Linked DNA regions of Tamandua tetradactyla. The protein of the gene in region 3 interacts with the protein of the main gene of each other region in a pairwise test. Links are inferred from orthologs where the notes say so. Each region holds a gene or a part of one and is shown on either strand. Other genes may lie near its edges.

Region 1 (7,440 bases), on a different chromosome or scaffold from region 3:
AGGCTATTCTTATGTATTGTATAGATATCCCTTTTTAGTTGATGGTGTACTGGTGTGGCTGGAGGGAAGTACCTGAAACTGTACAGCTGTGTTTCAGTAGCTTTGTTTCTTGAAGATGACTGTCTAATGATAGAACTTTTGTAATGTGACTGTGTGATTGTGAAAACCTCGTGTCTGATGCTCCTTTTATCCAGGGTATGGACAGACGAATAAAAAAATAAGATAATAAAAAAAATAGATAATAGGGGGGAAATAAAGAGTAAAAAATTGAATAGAATGAAATACTAGGGGTCAATGAGAGGAAGAGGTAAGAGGTATGGGATGTATGCATTTTCCTTGTTATTTCTTTTTCTGTAGTGATACAAATGTTCTAAAAATACACCATGGTGATGTATACACGGCTATGTGATGATATTGTGAGCCAATGATTGTATAATCTGGATTCACTGTATGTGTATGAAGATTTATCAAAAAATCTTTATCTATGCCTATATCTATATCTATTTATAAAGCAAAGGGGAAATGGCTGTGAGATAGCTGGGTCTGGCCTCTGGGGCCATCTGTGCCATGACTCTCCTCTCTCCACTCTGGGTTAGAAAAGTTTGCAGAAAATAGGATGATGCAGCTGAGGGACTCAGGGTTATGCACGTCTAAGGGGAGAAGCAAAGAAAGCTGGTTACCGAGAGCTTCATGATGCTGGTTTTGGTCTCCTGGGGGAGAATGTCTATCAGCTTCTTCATTTTGACCCCAGCGTCTTTCATATCTGGCTCAGGCTTGAAAGGTTGAATTGCGGATTCATAATCGGAAAGCGTGCCCATGAAGATGGTTGTAAGGACATGGAGAAAGCTTTCACACACCATCGCTGCAGCTGGGGCCCAGAAAAAGAGAAAAAATATGTATCCAGACCATCTTCCAAACTGGCCAGCCCCCTGGCTGGACATGCCCATGATGCCAATGCCCAGGCTGGGCGGCGGGGCCAGCAGCCCTTTTGCCCATGGAACAGAATGTCAGCTCTGCCTCTGGTGCCGCTCCTGGCAGTTGACTCTCCTGGTGCTCTGTGAATGCTTTCTGGGTTATGGCCAGCTTTTTCTGGCTTCCTTGGACTTCCTGGGTGGGGGTGGGGCAAGGTGCCATTTGGCCTTTCTGCTCGAATTCTAGGCAGGGTATTGCCCAACAGAAGCTGCTGTTCTGAGTTGGGAGCACCTGGAGAGGCAGCAGCCTTGGGGACTTACTTCCCACTAGAACATGCCTCTTACCGATGGTGAGTGATGGTCTGAGCCACATGTCACTGTGGGCTCGTGGCAAAGCCAGGCTCTGGCAGGAAGAAACACTTGTACCAGCCAAGCATGAGCCCCCACAGTCAGGCAAGCTTCTTTGGGCTCTTCCTTGTCCTATTGTGCTCCCTGTAGTGCTCCCTGGAGTGTGCTCCCTTCTCAAATCTCTGCTTCCAGGAGCTTGGGGGAGAGTCACACTCCCCACCCCCTGCATGCCCCCATCCCTCCACAGAGGCGCAGATGCCCAGTACCTGCGTTCTCTGCCTTATACTCAAATTCAGCTCCTCTCCTGGACTCCAGGCCCCTACCCCAAGTGGCGACTCTGAGTCACATGCTCTCCAGAACTTAGATTCCTGCTTTGTACCTTGCTATATCATCAGGCAGGTTAATTTACCTTTCTGTAGCTCAGTTTTCTCCTCTGTGAAATGGGAGTAATATACCATCTTCAGAGGATTGTTGTAAGAATGAAGAGATAGTAAGTGAAAGAGGGACACGTTGCAAATGCTGAGTAAATGCTAGAGATATTGCTGCTATTTTACCATATGCACACAAACGAATATACAAAAGCCTCCCAGACCCACCCCGAACATAGTTCAGTACCATCTCACAGAGCCACCCACTTTTACACCCAGCACTGCGGTCTTCTAATTAACATGCATTGCAGCCCAAAACGGTATTATTTCCCTGGAGAAACAAACTTCTCTACAAGATGGCTGCTTCTTGCTTTTGGTTTTATAACCTCCCAAGGTCATAAAGTTTGTCATCGTCATGGGTAGCATGAAACTTTCAAAGCGAATTAAATGGAATTCGTTTATTAAAAAAAGCAAACGAAACGATAGCATCTTCAGATTGGGGTGGAAGAAGCTGATGCAGAGTTAAAAAACCAGTCAGGTCACCCAATTCCCAAAGAAGGGGGGACTTGGAGAGAAACGTGAGAAAGCCACCCTTCCCTCCCTCCTTTCCTTTCTTCCCTCCCTCCCTTCCTTTGGTTCTTCCATTCCTTTCCACCTTAGTGACAGCAGCAACTGCTCAGAGGCTCCTACTTCTTTTTGCAGAGAACCAAATGTTTAGAAAACTCTCTTTTGGGCTGGCCGTTTCCTAGAGGGTAGACCTCTTTCTGGTTCATTCTTCTCTGCCCAAAGAGAAAAATGCCTTGGGGTGGGTTTCATCTGGGGACATGAGGCTCTGCAGCTCCTTTTCCTGGTCCGTTTGCCTGTCCGAGGCGGGAGGAGACCCCAAACCTGGAGGCTGCACGGAGAGCTCTTGGCATCTTGGGGTTTGTCCAAGTCTGGGCTTTGAGCTGCTCATAATTCCTATTCCGTTGGTTATCAGACCCTCTCATCTAGATGGGCTCTCCAGCATCCCTCCCTTCAGTCTGCTCCGTTCCCTGGAATTGTTAGGTTCTTGGTTATGGACAATGGGACCCTTTTTGGGTTTCCTGACAGCCTCAGAGCTCCCTCCAAGCCCTCAAGATGGGCTCTGAGCTTCCTGGCTCAGAGTCAGTACCCCAGACTCTCCCCCAGCCACAGAGGGGACTCGAGCAGTTTACCCTTGTCCTGAGCAGAACTGGGGGGCCGTGACAAGCCCTGAGGCCAGTCCTGGACTAAAGAGACTCTGGGGGGCTCACCTGGGGTGCAGCTGAAGGCCAGAGTGACCAAAGCAAGAGCAGCAAGGAACTTCATGGTGGGTGGGAGGCTGGGGGAGGCTCTCGCTTGTCTCTGGGCCGGTGGGCTTGGGTGAGACCTGCCCGTGGCAGAGCCTTCTTATATGCTCCAGGGAGTGCCTGGTGGGGGGAGGCCAGGGCACTGCACTGTTTACTTGGGCATCAGCCCGGTGGAAAAAGTAAATATCTTATTTTCTCAACTCAGTTTCTGTCCCCATTGAAACGGAGCTCTCAGACAATGGGTCACTTTTGGGGTAGGGAGTCCAGAGTCCTGCATGGAGACTGGGCCGCCCACCTCACTCTCTGGCCCTGAGCGCTGGGGGTGGGGTGGGGAGGGGGCAATTCAGGAACAAGGTAAACAATTGTGGGCTGGTCAACCGGGGGAAACCGAGGCCCAAGGCCCTTCAGCAAGTGGCTGGGACGGGACTAGAACTCAGGTCTCCTGACATCCCGCTGGCTCCTTCCACTGCTCCCCTCCAAGGACGGCAGCTGGGCAACATCGTCCAGAGGTCCACTGTGTCCAGACCTGGGGGAGACCCTGTACTGAAGTGTGTTCATAGATAAAGGGTTTTCCTAGGACACCTATCAGAACCAGAACCGGATCCAGGCTGGACGAGGCCCTGCACCAGGCTGGGTCTGCTTCCACCCCAGAACTGCCCTTCTGGTGGCCAAATTCATAGGCACCTTCAGTCCTTATCTTGCTCGACCTTTTAAATGGCTTTTGACCTGCTTGACCGGTTCCTTTTCTCCTTTGTGTTCTCCCATGTCTCAGTTCTTTCCTGTTTCCCCCCTCCCTCTCCATTCTCTCTTGTTCTCTTTTGATGTTTATCCTTTATTGACCCAGTTAAGTGTTGGTGGTTCCCAGGCTTTGTTCTCAGCCTCCCCTCAAGTCCCCACGCCCTGTGGTCGCTACCTCCCTTCTCTGATGCCAATACCTCCTGGCATCTGGCCTGGTCTTTCCAAAACCACCTCCTAATTGTCTCCCCCCCTCCCCATTTCCTAGCTTGACCCCTCAGCCATCCTCTGAAATGCCATCAGAATAATCTTTCTAAAAGACACCGATCATGCCATTCTCCTCGAAACCCTTTTATAGCTTTCTTTTGCCAACAGGTCAAAATTCAAATGTGGTCTACAAGGTTCTTGCCCGTGGACATTTGCCTCCCATTTGAGCCTCATTCCCTCCACTGCCCTGTTTGATTTAACCCCGTCTTACTAGTTGTAGGTTCCAGAATATTTCTAGATTCTTTTTTTCCATGCATATTTCTACCTTTGCACAAACTGAGCCTGATGCCGGAATATACACATCTTCCCTTGTGTACGTCCTCCAAATCCTATTAGTATTTCAGAACTCAGCCAGACGTCATTCATTCATTCAATAAGTGTTGAGTCACCGGCTATGCACCAGGCATGTGCCGGGAGTTGGGAGTCGTGGGGACGTGGAGAGGCGCTGCCCAAGAGCTCACTGTGTAGCTGCGGGCAGTGTGGTCAGCAGAGCCTTCAGCTGTTGGTTGCTTCCAAGTCTTTTTCAGCTTCAGAGGAATGCCTGGCCGAAGGTCACGGCTTTCCCAAAGTTGCCTGCATCTGGGGACCCAGCAGGGATCGGCTTTCAAACCTGGGCACTTTGGCACCACATGGGACAACTCCAACAGGCAGTTCTCACTCTGGAGCTCTCTGCTAGGGTGTGGCTGGGGTTATTTATTTATTTATTTATTTTGTATGGGCAGGCACTGGGAATCGAACCCGGGTCTCTGGCATGGCAGGCGAAAACTCTGCCTGCTGAGCCACCATGGCCCACACTATTTATTTATATTTTAAAAAATATTTTCATTGACAAATCTTCACACACATACTATCTATACGTGGTGCATAATCAGTGGCTCACAATCTCATCACATAATTGTGTTTTCATCACCAGGACCATTTTTTTAGAGCATTTGCATCATTCCAGGAAAAGAAATAAAAAGAAAAAAGAAAAAATTCATATATACCATACACTTTACCTTGCCCTCTCATTGATCACTAGTATTTCCATCTCCCCAATTTATTTTACCCCCTAGCCCCTCTATTATTTATTTATTTTTTAACTTTTTGAACTGTATAATATAACATATATACAAAGCAAAGAAAGAAGCAATAATTTTCAAAGCACTCTTCAACAAGTAGGTACAGGACAGATCCTGGAGTTTGTCATGATTTTTCCTTCTAGCTGCTCCAGAACATAGGAGGCTAGAAGGAATAAATATTTTTTTTATCATCTCAATCGACTTTTTTTTTTTTTTGCAAAAAATAGCATATATACAAAAGAGCAATAAATTTCAAAGCATAGCACAACAATTAGTTTTAGAACAGATTTCAGAGTTTGGTATGGGTTACAATTCCACAATTTTAGGTTTTTACTTCTAGCTGCTCTAAGATGCTGGAGACTAAAAGAAATATCGACATAATGATTCAGCAATTATACTTGTTTCTTAAACCCTACCTTCTATGTATAACTCTACCATCACATTTGCTCTTTCTATCCCATTCTTTAGGGGTATTTGGGCTATGGCCATTCTAACTTTTTCATGTTGGAAGGGGCTGTTGATAATATGGGGTAGGGAGATGATCTAGCTGATGTTCTGGAGAGGCTGGGCACTCTAGGTTTCAGGACTTATCTGGTCCAGGGTCCCTATCCAAATATGTATATATATATATATATATATATTTTAAATGTGGGCAGGCACCAGGAATTGAACCCGGGTCTCCTGCATGGCAGGTGAGAGCTCTGCCACGGAGCCACTGTGGCCCGCCTTTTAAAATTTTTTTCTTTTTTTTCCCTATCCATGTATATTTTTACTCATCTGTCCATACCCTCGACAAAAGGAGCATCAGACACAACGTTTTCATAACCCCACAGGCACATTGTAAAAGCTCTATCATTCTACAGTCATCTTCAAGAATCAAGGGTACCAGAACCCAGCTCAACAGTTTCAGATGCCTCCTTCCAGGGAGGCTGGGGTTTTGCCCGGCCGTTATCATAGCTTCCACCCCTTCCCCTTGGCAGGCGTTGAACTCTAAGGGCGGTCTTGCACTCCAAACTCCATCTCAGCATCTGCTTCACGAGACCCCAACCCACAATGTGGTTTCAGCAATGAAAGAGTGCCTTGTGGCGCTCCTCTCTGGTGGGGGCAAAGATGGGTGGACATTTAAGCAAATGAAATAATTACAGATGGTGACATTCCTAGGGAGGAATTAAGCATGATGCTAGGATAAGGAAAGAAAAAAAGGTGTGAGGCTTCTTAGATGGGGAAATCAGGGCAGCCCTCTGTGAGGAGGTGACAATTCTTAGAACTGCAGGTTGGGAGGGCTCTGGTCAGAGGGGGCAGCCAGCACCAAGGGCCTAAGTTGGGAAGGACCCCTGTGTGTCGCGGGAGCCCATGGGGGCCCTGTGCCTGTGTACCAGCTGTACAGGGCCAACAGGGCAAGAGCACACAGGTCTCAGGCTTTAAGCTCAGTCACCGGAAGCTTTTTAATCAGGGAGTGATGTGATCCGATTGTCCTTTTCTTAAAAAAAAAAAAAAATTATTTTAGTAGCATATATGCAACCTAAATTTTCCCATTTTAATGACTTTCAGGGATACAATTCATTGATGTTAATTACATTTCCAGGGTTGTGCTGCCATCGCTGCCATCCATTAAGATTGCCCTTTGGGGAAGAAGGAAAGAATCCACACCCCTCCCCCACACCCCCATCCCCCACCCCCACCTCCCCTGCCTGTTTAGATTTGGCATAACCAGTCTGTACCCTGTGTTCTGATCTACCCCAGTCCTATCCAGATGAGATTCATCACATCTCTAGTCGAAGTCTGATCCGTTTTTTCAACGTTTTCAGCAGTTCCTGTATGGAGTAATGCAGGCTCTCAGAGCTCCAGAGTTCAAATCCTGAGTCTCAGGAGTCACATAAATACCCGGAGTTTCTGGGAACGACCAGGTTATAAACAAATGGCCCTCAGGAGAAGGACTGGTGGTGAGTGAGTGAGTGTGTGTGTTGGGGGTGGGGTGGGTGGGGTGGGGGACAGCTGAGCAGCTGTTGCCGATGTCCCCCCGAGAGGCGGTGGCATCTGGACCAGGTGACAGGCAGGGGAATCAGGGCAGCTAAGAGAGGCGATGCTGGACAGGCTGTATGCTGGACTGAACGAGGCAGCCAAGGGACAGGGAAAAGCCAACTGTGCCCCCTGGCTGTCTGGCTGGGGTCCGATAGAGGAATAGGGTTGGGCCCGGAAAATCGAGAGTGAAGCCTTCTCCGACCGGCTGGTTCCCCTCAGTGGCCTCACTCCCTACCTGCCTCCACAGGCCCCTCCACTGTCTTGCATTTTAACGTTGCCATTTGTGGTGCCCTCCTGCGCCATTTGTGGTGCGCCTTTGCTTGGGCCGGTCCCCCCAACCCCACCCCCACCCCCACCCTGTGTGGCAGAGGCCAAGCTATGTAATGGTTGCTAACCAGGAACCTGTGGAATGCGCCAA
Region 2 (7,461 bases), on a different chromosome or scaffold from region 3:
GCTGATTGTGCCTGGTGTCCCTTTACTACAACAAATCTCAGCTGTGAGCTGGCTATATGCTGAGTCCTGTGTGTCTTCCCAGTGAATCATAGAATTTGGGGCTGCTCATGGGGACCCCCGACACATGACCCCTTCCCCACGTTTCTTTTCTCCTCAGCACATATCACTATCTGACACCCCAGACCACTTCACTTATACATCTGTACGGTCGTCTCCCACACCTGGGGCCCATCTATCTTGGGTACAGCAGTACCCTAGCATCACTCTACAGAGACACACAGAAGACACTAGGAGACACCTGCTGAATAACAACTGTAACAGCTTTATTTCCAAAGCTGGAGTTCCTCCCCTGGGCTTGTAATGGGAAGGGGGCCTTGGGCCCCGGCAGCAGAGCCTTGCAGGATATGGGTGAAAGGAGCCAGGGGAGCTGGCCTGGGAAGCGGCGGGTCCTTGGAGACACCTCACACAGGCTCCATCTGCAGTTCCTCCCCATCCCCAGCCTCCACCTGGTGGAAGGCGGCGTGAGAGCCGATGACGACCAAGGTGGCACCTGTAGGAAACTGGGCAGGTCAGGGCAAGGCTCCCTCACCTGCATGTCCCCACCTGGCCATACCACCCAGATCTTTACTTACCAAGGACCCAGAAGACCGCTGAGCCCGCACCGGCCAGCCAGAAGAAGGGGAAGGAGATGCCTCCGGCCAGGGCATACTGATGGGCTGGGCTCACCTCTCGGCCTGGGGGGTGGATGGCATTGGGGCACGGCTCCGACACTCCATGCCCTCTCCCAGATTCCCCCGCCATCCCCCAACAATCTGGTGTCACAAGCTCTAGAGCCTTAGGATCTAATTCAAACCCATCTCACCAAGACCCCATGAGTCTTGATCACAGCTTCTCTCCAACATCCCCATCTTCCTCTGGAGTATCAAACTTGTCCTCAGCCTCCGACCACTTGCCCTTCAACCCTTCTTCCTCTAGAAAACTCCTAGCACCCCCTTCCCAGTACAGGGCTCTCCTGCTCCAACCTGAACTCATGTAGGCCAGGGAACTCAAACTGATGGCTCCTGGACCAAGTCTGACCTGTGGCTATGTTTTCTGAACCTGTACACTGTTTTCCAAGAACAAGTGGGTGACACTACTGCATTCTCTGGTGACAGCAACAGGCCGAAGACAAGTCGTGGCTAAGCTTTAGATGCTCTCTCCATGTCCTGGGGTGGCCCAGCACTTCCTCACCCAGTCCACCTTCATCGTGTACATGACTTGCAGGCCCCTGAATTTTAGTTTCAGTCCCTGAAGTACTTTAAGTCTCACTGATTGTGTGATCCCAACTTCTCCCTGCCCCCACTCCAAACCTGAGCTTCCCCTGGATGGGGACGAAGGTCCTCCTTTGTTTGCCCAATGGAACCTCATTCCAGGCTGGAACCACAACAAGGTACTTTATAAAGCCATAGGTCTCAGCTTCTCTAAGTCCTAAGCTCTTTCTGGTCCCACCTTCCAGCTTCTATCTCAGGAAGCAGGAAAGGGGAGAGAACAGGAACTAGGCCAGTGTAAGGCCACCACCTGGTGTCCAATGGGGGTACCTGCAGCTGATGCTTTCTGCAGAGGTTAGGGAGGACCAATTAGGGAGGAGTGGAATGGCTTGGGGAGGAGCCAGGTGAAGGGTGGGTTTGGGGTATCTCATTGTGGATTTGGAGAATAGCAATTGAGAGAGCTGAGGCTGGGTAGGGGCATCTAATGTGTCTGGGATTTTAAGAGATGAGCTGTAGGAGACTTAGGGTAGATCTAAGTTTGAGTAGATTTAAATTCAGAGGGACTTGAATTTAAATTTAAGTTTGGGGGTCTGAGGTTTGCATTCAGAGAGTCCAGAAGTTGAGAAGTCGGGGCTCGGTCTGGCCAAGGGGTATCTCACCAAAGAGCACAATCTTGGACTGCAGAGTGCGCAGATAGAGGATGTAACAGGCACCAAAGAAGACCGCCAGAGCCACCAGCAGCATGGGGGACGTCAAGCTGGGAAGGAGGGGAGTGAAGAGAGGCAGGGGTCAGGTTGCAGGGACTGGCCAGCCAGGGGTCCCCCATCCTTCTACAGGGCAGATGGAGGGCTTCTTCCTTGACACCAGGTCACGCTGGTCACAAGGCCTAGCCCAGATGTCAGGGGAGTAGGGACCCCACCCTCTGGGACACAAGGCGGGGCCTGGCCAGCGAGGGGTGCGGCAGCTTGCTGAGGGCGGGGTCCACCGGGCAGAGCAGGGCCACCGGGTGGGGGCGAGGCCAGGGCGGGCGGGAGAAGCACTCACACGCAGTAGAGGATGAGGCCCAGGAACACGAACACGTAGTTGCTCTGGTAGTGCTCCACGTTGCGCACCAGGCGCTGGCACAGCTCGCCCAGGTTGCGGGGCCGCGAGAAGCGCCGCTGGTCCACGAAGGGGCCCCAGGGCCGGATGGTTGCGCGGCGCCGCTCCAGCCACTCACGGCCCGGGCCGGATGGAATCAGTTTGGGCAGCAGGGTCCTGGAGGACGAGGCCGGGTCAGCGGTAGGCTGGGATAGAGGCCTGAGACCCCGAGGAAGATGAGGGTTGAGAGGGCCGGACTCCGGGCTCCTGGGGGAGTGGGGCTTCGAACTCCTGGACCCCGGGGAGGAGGGAAGGAGGGGCTCAGACTCCAGAGTCCTCGAAGAGAAGGGGACCGGGAGCCTGGACTCTGGTGTCTGAGAGAAGAGGTTTGCCATAGGGGGTCCTGGGACCCGGGGGTACAGGGGGTCAGAGCCCGGACTCCGGGTCTTGGGTTGGGGAGTGGCTAGGGCCGGGTCGCTCACGTGGCGCTCATCCCATCCACTTCGGCATCCTTCTGCTGGTTCTTCTCGGCCGCCATATCTGCGGTGTGAGGGGCAGAACCACCGAAAGGAGCCCGGGGCCCCGCACACCCCGGGCCCCGCCCAAGCCCGGCCTCACCCGCGAAATGGACGTGGCACGGCTCGGGAGTTACTGGGGACGGTAGGGCTGCCGCTGAGCCTTCTGGGAGTTGTAGTCCTGGAGGTGTCTGGGAGGTGCGGGCGCCATGATGGAGGACTGGCTCGCAAATCACCTTGGGAAATGTAGTCCCAATGAAGTCCCAGGGAAGGGGGGGGCAGTGGAAATCTCTGGGCATTGTGGGAGTTGTAGTTCTAGAGCTGGGGGCGTGGAGTCGGGGAAGGTGAGCTGTCGGGAGTAAGGGTATTATGGGAGCCCTCCTGGAAGAAGGTGGTGCTGTGAACACTAGAAATTAATAAAACACTGATTCCTGGGCCCGTACCCCAGATGCTCTGGTTTAGGGGGTCTAGAGTGGGGCCCATAATTTGCATTTCTACCACGTTCCCAAGTGATGTTGATGATGCTGGTCCCTGGACCACATTTTGAGTAGCGAAGTTGTAGAGAATTCGTGGGAAATTATTCCTTTCTCCCACCAGGGACAGAGGCTAGTAGGAGGGCTGTGGCTGTGGGGGTGGTGTCTGGGAGTGAAGCACAGCCTCCCTCCAATCTTTGGGCTTTCAGGGTCCAATGGGTTAGGACTAGACCCCGCCCACCACGCACCTTGGCATAGGAAGGAAGTTGTGAGGGGGAAAGAGCTGCAAATTTATAAAAGAGGAAGCTTGTATAACTAAAAGACCTGGGATTCTGAGGTGAGACTTAATTGAAAATGCAGGCTGTGTGGCTTTGACTGAGTCATATCTCTGAACCTCACATCCTCATCTGGACAGTGGCGAGCCTCAGAGTGCCACACTCATGGAGTTATGAAGATTCAGTTAAATGAGCCAGATAAAGTGCTTAAAGTTCTCAACACTTTATACATGCTCAATAAATATAGTCACTGCTGTCAACACTGTATCATCATTAATGTTATGATGATCATTTCTGGAGTTCAGCCTTCCCCAATTTCACAGTTGCATATTAGGGGACTCTGGCCCCTTGGGTATCCCAAAGAGTGGCTGGTGTCTGAGGCATGGGCCTTTCTTTAGTTCCCCAGCTGTGGTTCTCCCAAAGTCTTTAAACAAATTCCTCAGTGGACTGTCCCTGCCCCGGGGTGAATTGTGGGAAGACAGGACCAGAATTTTAAAGAGGGTGCAGTGGAACAGGGCCTTAAGAAATGAATGGAGTGCCATGAAGTCTGGGCTCCTTACATGAAGTGAAGTCGTAATTTTCCAAGCCTGGGACTGAAGGGAGAAAACCTACGGGGAATAGCCAGGTGACTGTTAGCCCCAATTCTTATCTCCCAAGATGCTCAGGCCTTTTGGGTAGGGCCTTTCAGCCCTGGTGGAGGGCACTCCTGCTGGAGGTGGGGAAAGATGACTCCTGCCAAGGGAGCTAGTGCAGCAGTAGTCAGGGAGGCTACTGATGGTGTGCCTATCCGGCCCCAAGCTACAAATGAGGGTCAGATTGTCTAGTTACCATTTCCTTCCCCTCTGTCATCCTTGGGCTTTCCAATTTGTTCAAGTTTTCCAACTCAAGTCCAGCTTTGCCTCAAAAAATCAAAGGAGGTCTATAGAGGGACAGTTAGCCTAGAGCATGGATGGGCTAGCAGCACTGGGATGGGGGTGGCAGAGGTAACCAGTGGAAGCGCCCCCGAAGGGAAGATGAATCTTGGGGAAATAAAGTTGGAAGCCAAGATCCAGCTACCTCTTCCCAAGATGTTATTCTTTCTCCATGGCCAACCTTGAAATGGGTTTCCTTATGAGAACTGATTCAAAGTGATTTCATTCCATCACCTGCCAGTACCTGTTCTGAGTAGTTGACATATTTGGGCAAAGGCTGGGAGACATGGAACATGGATGATGTATAGTGGTCTCACAGGGACCACGGCAAGAGATGTGGTTGCAGAGGAGAGGACATTATAGGGGAGGGACCCTCTGAACCCCAGGAGGAGGGTGAACTTTGAATTGTAGGAGTTTTGAAGTTGGGGCCTTGACACAGGGGCAGTGTAGGAGAAGGGTCCCTTGAAATAGGAACTGTGGGAGGGGAGACTGTGCTCATTTGAATCTGTGGTGGACCCTAGAAAAGCCATATCCTTTAATCCTCATTCAGTATTGCTGCGTGGAAGCTTTTTGGTTACCCCCAGAGATGTGACCCACCCAATTGTGGGTGACAGCTTTTGATTAGATGGTTTCTATGGAGGTGTCTCTCTACCCATTCAAGGTGGGGTTGCTTTCTGGAGCCCTTTAAGAAAGAACCATTTTGGAGAAAGCTTGAGAGTCACAAGAGCCCATGCAGCCAGAAGCCTTTGGAGATGAAGAAGGAAAACGCCCTTGGGGGAGCTTCATGAAATAAGAAGCCTGAAGAGAAGGCTAGCAGAGGTTGCCATGTGCTTTTCCGGTTGACAGAGAAACCCTGAACATCATAGGCCTTCTCGAACCAAAGTATCTTTCCCTGGATGCTGTAAATGTGCAACTTAATAAATTCCCCTTTTTAAAAGTTGTTCCATTTCTGGTATATCTCACTCTGGCAGCTTGCAAACTATAACAGGTCCCTACAGCAGGGGGTTGAGGGGAAGTGAGCCCTGAATTAGGAGCATTGTGGGAGGTGGTGGGCCCCAGAGCCAAGGGAATTCTGAGAGATGGGGCCCGGAAACAGGAGAATTGTGGGGGATGGGGTCACAGAGAGAGGGGGATTGTGGGAGATGGGGCCCAGAGACAGGGGAATTGTGGGAGATGGGGCCCAGAGACAGGGGGATTGTGGGAGATGGGGTCCAGAGACAGGGGAATTGTGGGAGATGGGGCCCAGAGACAGAGGGATTGTGGGGGAAGGGGTCCTGGATTAGGGGGATGGGGAGAGATCAGGGACCCCTGGCAAGACTGTGGGATGTGAGCATGGCCCTGTGTGCCCTCCAGCCTCTTGGGTTCCCAGAAGAAGTGGCGCTGAGAAGGTCAGAAGCCCTTAGCATAGACAATCAGGATCCTGGGTTATAGTCCCTGCTGTGTAACCTCAAGGGAGTCCCTCCCCTCTCTGGGCCTCAGTTTGCCCATCTGTATATGTGAGTATTTCTTTCCTTTTTTGTTAGAGAAGTTGTTGATTTACAGAACAATCATGCATAAAACACAGGATTCCCAGGTACCACACCGTTACTAACACCTGGGGGCACTAGATGAATAAAGTGCTTCGCTGGCCTTCCAAGAGGGGTGCAAGCTTGCACAGCTCTGTCAGGATCAAGCTTCTGTCCTGGGCACCAGGAGGGGAGTCCAGCACCCACGGCCCCTTCCCTGCTCCGACACAAGCACTCCTCCCTAAGCTGTCGCTTGCTGTAATGGTCACGCGCACACACATAGGCAACAACCCACACTCACATGAGCCCTCGGAGCATCCGGGCCACCCACACACCTCACACTGGTAGCCAGGTGGGCCTGGGTCTGGCCCCACCCTGCCCTCTGACCTGTGTCTTTGAGCTGTGTTAGAGGCAGCCTCCAGGGAAGTGGGGTAGCTGCCCCACCAGAATGGCTAAAATTTAAAAAGACAATATAGAGTGTTGGTGAAGGCACGGAGCCACTGGAACTTTCATACACTGCTGGTGGGAATGCAAAATGGTGCAAGGGCTTTGAAAACAGCCTGGCAGTTTCTGCTGAAGCTAAACATAGTCTATGGTGTGTCCCAACAACTTCTCTCCCAGGCCTGTACCCAGCAGCGGTGCACACACGTCATCTACAGACATTACTAGGAGGTTCCTATTCCTCGCAGTTCACACCGTCAGGGCCACCAAGCTGGAAACAACCCAAATGTCCATCCACAGGCGAATGGATAAACAAAGAGTGTTAGATTCACACAATCGGATACTGAACAGCGAGGCAAGAGAATGGGGTGGCGATAGGTCCGACAACGTGGGAGGGTCTCAGATGTAAGCCGGACCCATCAGAGCACAGCGCACACGGTGGGAGCTCAGTGGACCACCGCCATCATCATCATCTTCATCCCCACCACCTCCCGGAGACCCTACTCCAATATGAGAGGGTCCCCGACTCCACAGTCCTAACTCTTATTCTCAGCCTCTTCCCTGCGCTGACACTATAATCCCATCACCAGACGAATTCAAGCTGCTCTTGCCCTGGCATTCACTGCATCCTAAACCCTGCGGATTCCTTAACCTACTGAGATTCTGTGGCTCTCACGAACGAGCCAGGCTAAATTTCTGGAGTTGTGTGAATCACCCAGCAGCGCGAACCCCCATGGGACACGGTCCCCCCAGCACCATTAGTCTGGAAAGCAAGCACAACACGGCACACCACTTCTCTCTCCCCATTGATATATTTGATAATTGTCCAGAACCAGAGATGGCGTCAGTCGGGGAGTGAAAGGAGTAAAAAAGAGGCCAGGAGAGGGCTGGGAGGGAGGGTAGGGATGGAAGGGTGAGGAAGGGAGAGAAACAGAGACACAGAAAAGGGAGAGGGAGAGAGAGAGGCAGGGGGCAGGGGTGGGGGGAGAGCAGCCAGCCTGGGGGAGAGGGGCA
Region 3 (6,939 bases):
AGCAATAGAACTGGAGTTCAAATCCAGGTATGTCAACTACAAGCCATAAAATCACACCAATTCAAAATACATGCTATAGTTCACTGACTACTTAGGTTGTTATTACCTTTAGGGAGTTTGGCTAAGAGGTTATTAAAGGAACCTAGGAATAATTTTAAAATTTGATTGTTCTACTAGAAGTGTACATGGGCAGTGATCCACTTCAAGGATCCTGTGTATCAACCACTCTCCAGATGGAGACATTTGTGCTCTCAGAGTTGCAAAACCTTTCTCGTAAGGTGTATAATGTAACTTTGGGGCCAGACATAACTGGGTTCTCATCTCAGCTTTGGCACTTACTCTGTAGCCTTAGAAGAATCATATAACCTGTTAGTTTCCTCATCTAATGGGGAATAACACCTTGTCAGATGGGGAATAACACCTAGATCATTGGCAGGATCAAATGAGATAATGCACGATATGTGCTTGATACATAATAAGCACTCTTTAAATGGCAGTTCATATTCTTAATAGATTGAGGCTGACAGGGCAAGTGCTTATCCAAGGTCTCACAGTAAATTAGTAGTAGAGTAAGGATTTTCGGCTTCAGGCCTCTGATTCCCATTACCTATTTTCCTTTTGGGGAGGAGGGAATGGGATATTGCAGCTAAATCTCTGGCCCTCAGATCTGAACTGGCTTCAGCAATGCTGTAGCTAGTCTTTGAGCTGACAGAGCTAAAACTGCTATTCTGTCCCAGGGGAAAGATACCCAAAAAAGAGCCTTCAGGCCACAGTAGTTGCTCTCCTGTCATGTTTTGACTGCCTTTAGCCTCAGTCCCTGCTTTGAAGGTATTTTCCCTAGCCAATGGCTTCTATACCTCTCTCCTTAGTCCCTTGTACCCCATTTTACCATCTAACCTCAAGCTCCTCCTCTTATCCATCCACTGGTCTAGTCTAAGAGCAAACAAAGAACAAAATCCAGTTCACCTTACCTAACCAGATAAATTAACCTGCTCCCCTTTAGAGTTCTATTTGGTATTTGGTAATACCCACTGGGCAATCCTTTTTTTTTTCACTAGAGAGGAATGGGCTGAAATAATAACGTAGGTCCTGTTATTAATCCCTTTTTACTGATGCAGAGCCTAGGTATAAAGAGGTTAAGTAACTCAATAAAAAGTGAAGAAAAATAAGTCAGGATTCCTAAACCTCCACACTAGCGTTGTTTTGGGATGGATAATTCTTTATTGTGGAGGCATTATAGGATGTTTTGCAGCATCCTTGGTCTCTACCCACCAGATGCCAGTAGCACCCCCTCCCCAGTTTGAACAACCAGAAATGTCTCCAGAAATTGCCAAATATCCACTGGGGGACAAAACTGCCCCTGCTTAAGAACAACTGCTTTGGAGCCTGGCACAAAACTAAATGCTTGGTAAATATGAGTTACCTTTTTCCCTAGATTTTCTCCCTGTCCAGGCGCCTTGTTCACAAAGCCACTGACTGCTTTGAGCTGTAATCGTCCTTACATATGAACTCATTCAATCCGCTTATTGAATTGATGAGGAAAAGAAGGCCTGAGAAAATGTTTCCTCATTCCCCTGGAGGTCTCTAGAACCTTGCAGCTTGTAGGGCAGGGAAGGGGGCGTCTAGGAGGATGACTTTGAATAGCTTTTTGCTTTATCCCTTCTTTGATTTCTCTCCTTCTCCCCAGGCCCACCACTTTCAGCTAGTCCAGGATCAGAGTGGACTTGGTGGCAGTGGCATGCCTGCCTCATGATAAGAGAACTTGGGTGAATAAGTGGAGGAGATTGTGCCCCTCGTAGGGAAAGTTAGGCTCCTTTAGGAGTCCTGATCTCTGAAGACTTACGACTTCTTTCCTGAACCCCTAAACATGTTAAGCTTCATGTTTTCATACACACTTTCATACATCACCTCTAGGTCCTAGGATCCCCAGAACTCCCTCTGTTCCCATACAAAGACTTCAGGAAAATTCTTTTAGCAGTCAGAGACACCAACCCACCAACCTATTAAGAGCCTTTTAATTCCATTTGTCAGTTATGATCCTTCACTCCCCCCTCCCCTTCAATCCTCTCCAAATCCTATTCCCAATCCTTTTACAATACAAAATTCCAATCTTTTGGGCTCTGTATTGCAACCTTCATCCTTATGTCCCAAGTCCAATTAACACAGTTTCCTTAATCCCTACTTCCAATCTCTGAAGCCTTCAGCTTCGCACCCCTACCTCTTCCAAACACCCAATTCTCACCTTAGATTTCTGACCTCCATTTAGTTTTAGCCCCATCCCCTGCATCCTATTAGGTTGCTCATCCTTTTTATCCACCCCATATCACGTATTGACTTCAAACCTTGGCTAGGTCCCTTCTTTTAGCTAGCAAGACAATACATCTCACTGATCCCCACAAAACTCGCCCCTCAATTTTTTTGGTATCCTACTCAGGAAAACCTTCCCTCTTTACCAATTAGAATCGCTCCTGCTCTCTGTGATCTCAGAACTTAACCCCCCAAATGGATACACACTCAGATTTTCTGAAACATCCTGAGATCATGCACCCTAAATCTCATCAAGGCCCCCAAATTCCCTCCAATTATCCAAATCTGGCATCCCAGGTCCTTCCAGGGTCCTCAGATATCCCCACATCTCCAGATACTGCACTCCGCGTTCCTCAGAGCCCCACATTACCTCACAGTTCCCGAAATGCTGCACAGGAAACCTTCCCTGAGCCCCCACAATCCCAGCTGCAGCTCCTCAGAGCTCCCCAGCCCCATCGAATCCCTCCAGAGCCTGCCCCTAATGCCCCACCCCCACCTCATCCTACCCCTCTGATCCGGTCCCCAGAGCTTGTTATTTGGACGCGGGCCCAGACGCTATGCGCCAGCACGACACCTCATCTCGCCGCGCAGCCACCACCCAGGACTCCAGCCGGGGTCCCTCATTCCCGACCCTCTTTCCCGCCCCCTACCTGACCGCCAGCGGCTCCGACGAGTCCACAGCCCCTAGCCCTCCCGCCCGCCGCTCTCTGCGCATGCGCCGCTTCGCTCCTCTTGGCGAGCGCCAATTCGTAGAGCCTCCTGTCCATCACTGCACCCCGCCTCCCCCCCGAGGTATGCTGGGGCTTGTAGTCGCGCGCGGCCAAGCTTTCCAGGCCCTGCGGCCCGGTTGTGGCAACCCCTTGGCGAGGAACTGGGGTCTCTGGAAAGGTTTCCTGATAATCCAGGTTCCTGTCACATTGCACGGATGAAGATGCTGAGGCCCACGGCCGAAATGGACTGTCCCAAGTTCATGCAACGAGTCGGGAGCTAAACCCCTCCACTAAAACGTGACTGTCCGGGATTGTCGCCAACAAAACCTTGGCAGCTTACAGAAATGATCTCGCTAACCCTCAGCTTTCCCATCTGAGAAATAGGCCAAAGAAAGAATGTTACTTTTACTCTGGACTCGCTTACAAGGCAGTGTCGCAGGTCTCATATTTCTCCCCATGACATATATAATACTGGAGACATGTTTATCTTATAACACTTTGCGTTTGAGAAGGAGTTTTTTGCTTACTTGGCTGAGAGGAAAACAGCAAAGGTACCTATAGGGAATATATCCTGCAGCTCCTGTCCCTGCAGACGGAAGCTACCCAGGAACCCAAGCCTAAGGCTAGCTTTAGAGGGGAGAGGGTTGGGGAAGGGTCTTTCCAGGTGGGAGGTGGTCTAACCTACTGGCAAGCCAGGACATGTGGCCCTTTGGGTTATTTGGGACCAATTACCTGTCCTGCAGGTGACCATACTATATAGTTTAGGAGCACAAAGACGCTCTGAAGTAGAATGCCTTAGGGTTGGAAATCCCGTTTAGTTTTATGACCCCAAACAATGATTGCCTCAGTTTGCCAGGCTACTATACCTGCTATGCACATACCACACAATGGGTTTGGTTTAAACCACAGGAATTTATTGGCTCATGGTTTCAGAGGCTGAAAGTGGCTTGCTTCCTCCTGAGGAGGGCACTGGTGTTCTCTCTGGCTGGCAATCCTTGGGTTCCTTTGTGTTCTTCCAGGTTTCTGCTGACTTGCAGCTTCTCACCATGACTTTCTCTATGCCTGACTTTCTTCTGCGTTTAAAGGACTCTAGGCCCACCCTTTTTCAACTGGACCACACCACACCTTAATATTAAAGTTAATATCTTCTAAAGGTCCTATTTACAATGGGTTCACACTCACAAAAGTGTGGCTTGAAATTAAAAACAAGCTAAATTGGGGTACATAATTCAATCAACCACAATAATAAAACAACAACAGTGACAAAACCAACATCCTTAACTTAATGTCTGGCTGCAGCTAAGCATTGCATATGTTTAAATCATTTAATCCTCATAAGAATCCCATGAGATAAAACAACTGATGCCCAGATGGTTGAATAACAAGGCCAATGCTCATAGATGGTGGGACCCAGACTTGAACCCAATTTTGAGAACCCACCCTCTTAACCTCGATTAATCTCTCTATCCATTTCTTTGTTTTAAAATATTTTTATTGAGCTACCTTCACACACATACAGTCCATACATAGTATACAATCAGTGGCTCACAATATCATCATATACTTGTGTATTCATCACCATGTTCATTTTTGGAACATTTGCATCACTTCAGAAAAAAAAAAAAAGTAAAAAGTAAAGAACTCACACGTCCCATACCCCTTACCCCTTCTTCTCACTGACCACTAGTATTTCAATCTACCCCATTTTTTACCCTTTATCTCCCCCCATTATTTATTTATTTATTATCTTTATTTTTTTACTCATCTGTCCATACCTTGGGTAAAAGGAGTATCAGACGCAAGGTTTTCACAATCACATGGTCACATTGTAAAGGTTATATAGTCATACAGTCGTCTTCAAAAATTAAGGCTATTGGAAAACATCTCAGCAGTTTTAGGTACTTTCCTCCAGCCATTGCAATACAGCATAAACTAAAAAGGGATATCTATATAATGCATGCGAATAACCTCCAGGATAACCTCTTGACTGTCTGAAATCTCTCAGCCACTGAAACCTTATTTTGTCTCTTTTTTCTCTTCCCTCTTTTGGTCAAGAAGGCTTTTGCAATCTCATGATGCTGGGTCCCAGCTCATACTGGGAGTTCTGTCCCACATTGCCAGGGAAATTTACAGACCTTGGAGTCATGTCCCATACAGGGGGTAGGTCAATGAGTCCACCTGCTGCCTTGGTTTAGACAGCGAGGCCACATCTGAGCAACAAAAGAGATTCTCTAGGGGTGACTCTTAGGCATAATTATAAGTGGGCTTAACTTCTCTTTTGCAGGAATAAATTTTATAGGGTGGCCCCAAGATCGAGGGCCTAGCCTATTGAATTTGTTGTCCCCACTGCTTGAGAGAATATCAGGAATTCCCAAGATGGGGAAGTTGAATATTTCCTTTTTTCTCCCCAGTTCCCCAAGGGGACTTTGCTAATACCTTTTTATTCTTGGCCCAAATTAATCTGGGATGTCTTGCGGCATCACTTTAACCTGTACAAACCAACAAGATCTCATGCCCTATTTAAGATTCCATGTAATTATAGTGTTCAAATAAACTGACTATACAAGTTAAATAGGATAATGTGCCACCCAAAATATAAATTTTGCACTAAATAACATCACTTCCTTTGGCCTCACACAGAAGTTGAAGTTTTAAAATATGGACCATATCATCCTTTACCCTGTATTCTACAGTCCATATCTTTATCTCTAAATGTAGATGATGTTTGCCCTGAGAATTAACTGAGATTATGAACGCGTAATGTTTTGCACTTAATAAGTTACTTTTTAAAAATTAAAATTAGCTCTCACACTTCTCTGGGCCTTGTCTACAAAAGCCCCAGCACATAGTATTGCAGATGCTGAGGACCCCAGGAGGCTAGCTTGATATATTTCAGGCATCCCTAGATCAGGCCTGGGGGCTCTGGACTCCTGAGTTGACATAGCTCTCTGAGACCTCAGTGATGCACTTCCAGGCCTCTGCAGTTTGAGTAGAGGCCAGCAATAGATTGAGTCATGACTGGGCTTAGTAGGGAGCACAGTCTGGGACTAAAAAGCCCGGCACAGGTTTTGCTCAGAATTGGCAGCTAGTGGGTGCAGGCTGAACTTCCCAAGGTCAGAGGAGGAGGAGTACTTGCTTTTCCCACAGTCCTGGGCTCCTGGGAGCTCTGATGTGCTCAATTGCCGCTCAGCAAGTTCCAAGACTTGCAATTTGATTTCTCACAAAGTCTGGTCAGATTTTATCATCCTCTTGCCTATTCTGAAGGTCAGTGTTCGCAGTCACATCTGTTAGCACTGGACCCAGCACAGAAGAGCTCCTGAGTGAGTCAGACTCTGTAATGTGACCTAAGGCAGTCTCATTCCCTGTCTAGCCTGGAGTTATTTTAACTGCAACATAACTTCGTGGGGTCAGCCAGCTAAGAGCTGCCATTTTTTGAGTACCAACAATATGCCAGGCACTTCACATATATTGTCACCAGTCATGATCTACTCACCACCTATTCAAGTAGATATCAGAGGAGCAAACAGAGGTGCAGAAAGATTAAATAGCTTGTTCACAGTCACCACCAGGGAAATGGTCGAGCTAGGATACAAATCCAGGCTTGTCAGATTGATAAAATGCTTCTAACCACTATGCAGCATTTTATGACAACAGCTCTCTATTTTATTGAGTAAGGTTTGGTGTAAAACTCGAAACAGATAAGGAGATGACAGTGCTTAGGAAGTCAAGAAATGTGGAACCTTCATGACTGTCACTAAAGCCACATGGCATAATCCTGTCAAGCAAAGCTCTCAGATGAGCTGTTCTGAGCAACAGTGCTGGAGGAGAGCGGAGGTTGCCTCTATCCTGGTTTCTTGCCGTGTTGTTCCCTTAGTGAGGCTTGTTTCATGGTCAGGATGGGGGTCCCTTTGGGCAGGGTCCT

Evidence for each region. The genes of interacting proteins can lie anywhere in the genome.
Region 1: the proteins of TRIM32 (region 3) and SCGB1A1 interact in binary tests that used the Homo sapiens proteins (3 or more experiments, as listed by UniProt). The two-hybrid records come from large-scale screens. The link is inferred for Tamandua tetradactyla from reciprocal best matches to the Homo sapiens genes TRIM32 and SCGB1A1.
Region 2: the proteins of TRIM32 (region 3) and RABAC1 interact in binary tests that used the Homo sapiens proteins (3 or more experiments, as listed by UniProt). The two-hybrid records come from large-scale screens. The link is inferred for Tamandua tetradactyla from reciprocal best matches to the Homo sapiens genes TRIM32 and RABAC1.

Annotation. Positions count from the first base shown.
Region 1 is NC_135335.1:12,174,440-12,181,879, forward strand, and holds the start of SCGB1A1 (uteroglobin), read right to left. Parts: upstream 3,012-7,440; 5' UTR 2,957-3,011; coding exon 2,902-2,956; intron 869-2,901; coding exon 681-868; intron 1-680. UniProt on the Homo sapiens protein: Binds phosphatidylcholine, phosphatidylinositol, polychlorinated biphenyls (PCB) and weakly progesterone, potent inhibitor of phospholipase A2.
Region 2 is NC_135342.1:21,683,670-21,691,130, forward strand, and holds RABAC1 (prenylated Rab acceptor protein 1), read right to left. Parts: upstream 3,012-7,461; 5' UTR 2,866-3,011; coding exon 2,810-2,865; intron 2,505-2,809; coding exon 2,292-2,504; intron 2,005-2,291; coding exon 1,907-2,004; intron 735-1,906; coding exon 633-734; intron 551-632; coding exon 462-550; 3' UTR 303-461; downstream 1-302. UniProt on the Homo sapiens protein: General Rab protein regulator required for vesicle formation from the Golgi complex. May control vesicle docking and fusion by mediating the action of Rab GTPases to the SNARE complexes.
Region 3 is NC_135328.1:40,933,549-40,940,487, forward strand, and holds the start of TRIM32 (E3 ubiquitin-protein ligase TRIM32), read right to left. Parts: upstream 3,008-6,939; 5' UTR 2,958-3,007; intron 1-2,957. UniProt on the Homo sapiens protein: E3 ubiquitin ligase that plays a role in various biological processes including neural stem cell differentiation, innate immunity, inflammatory resonse and autophagy.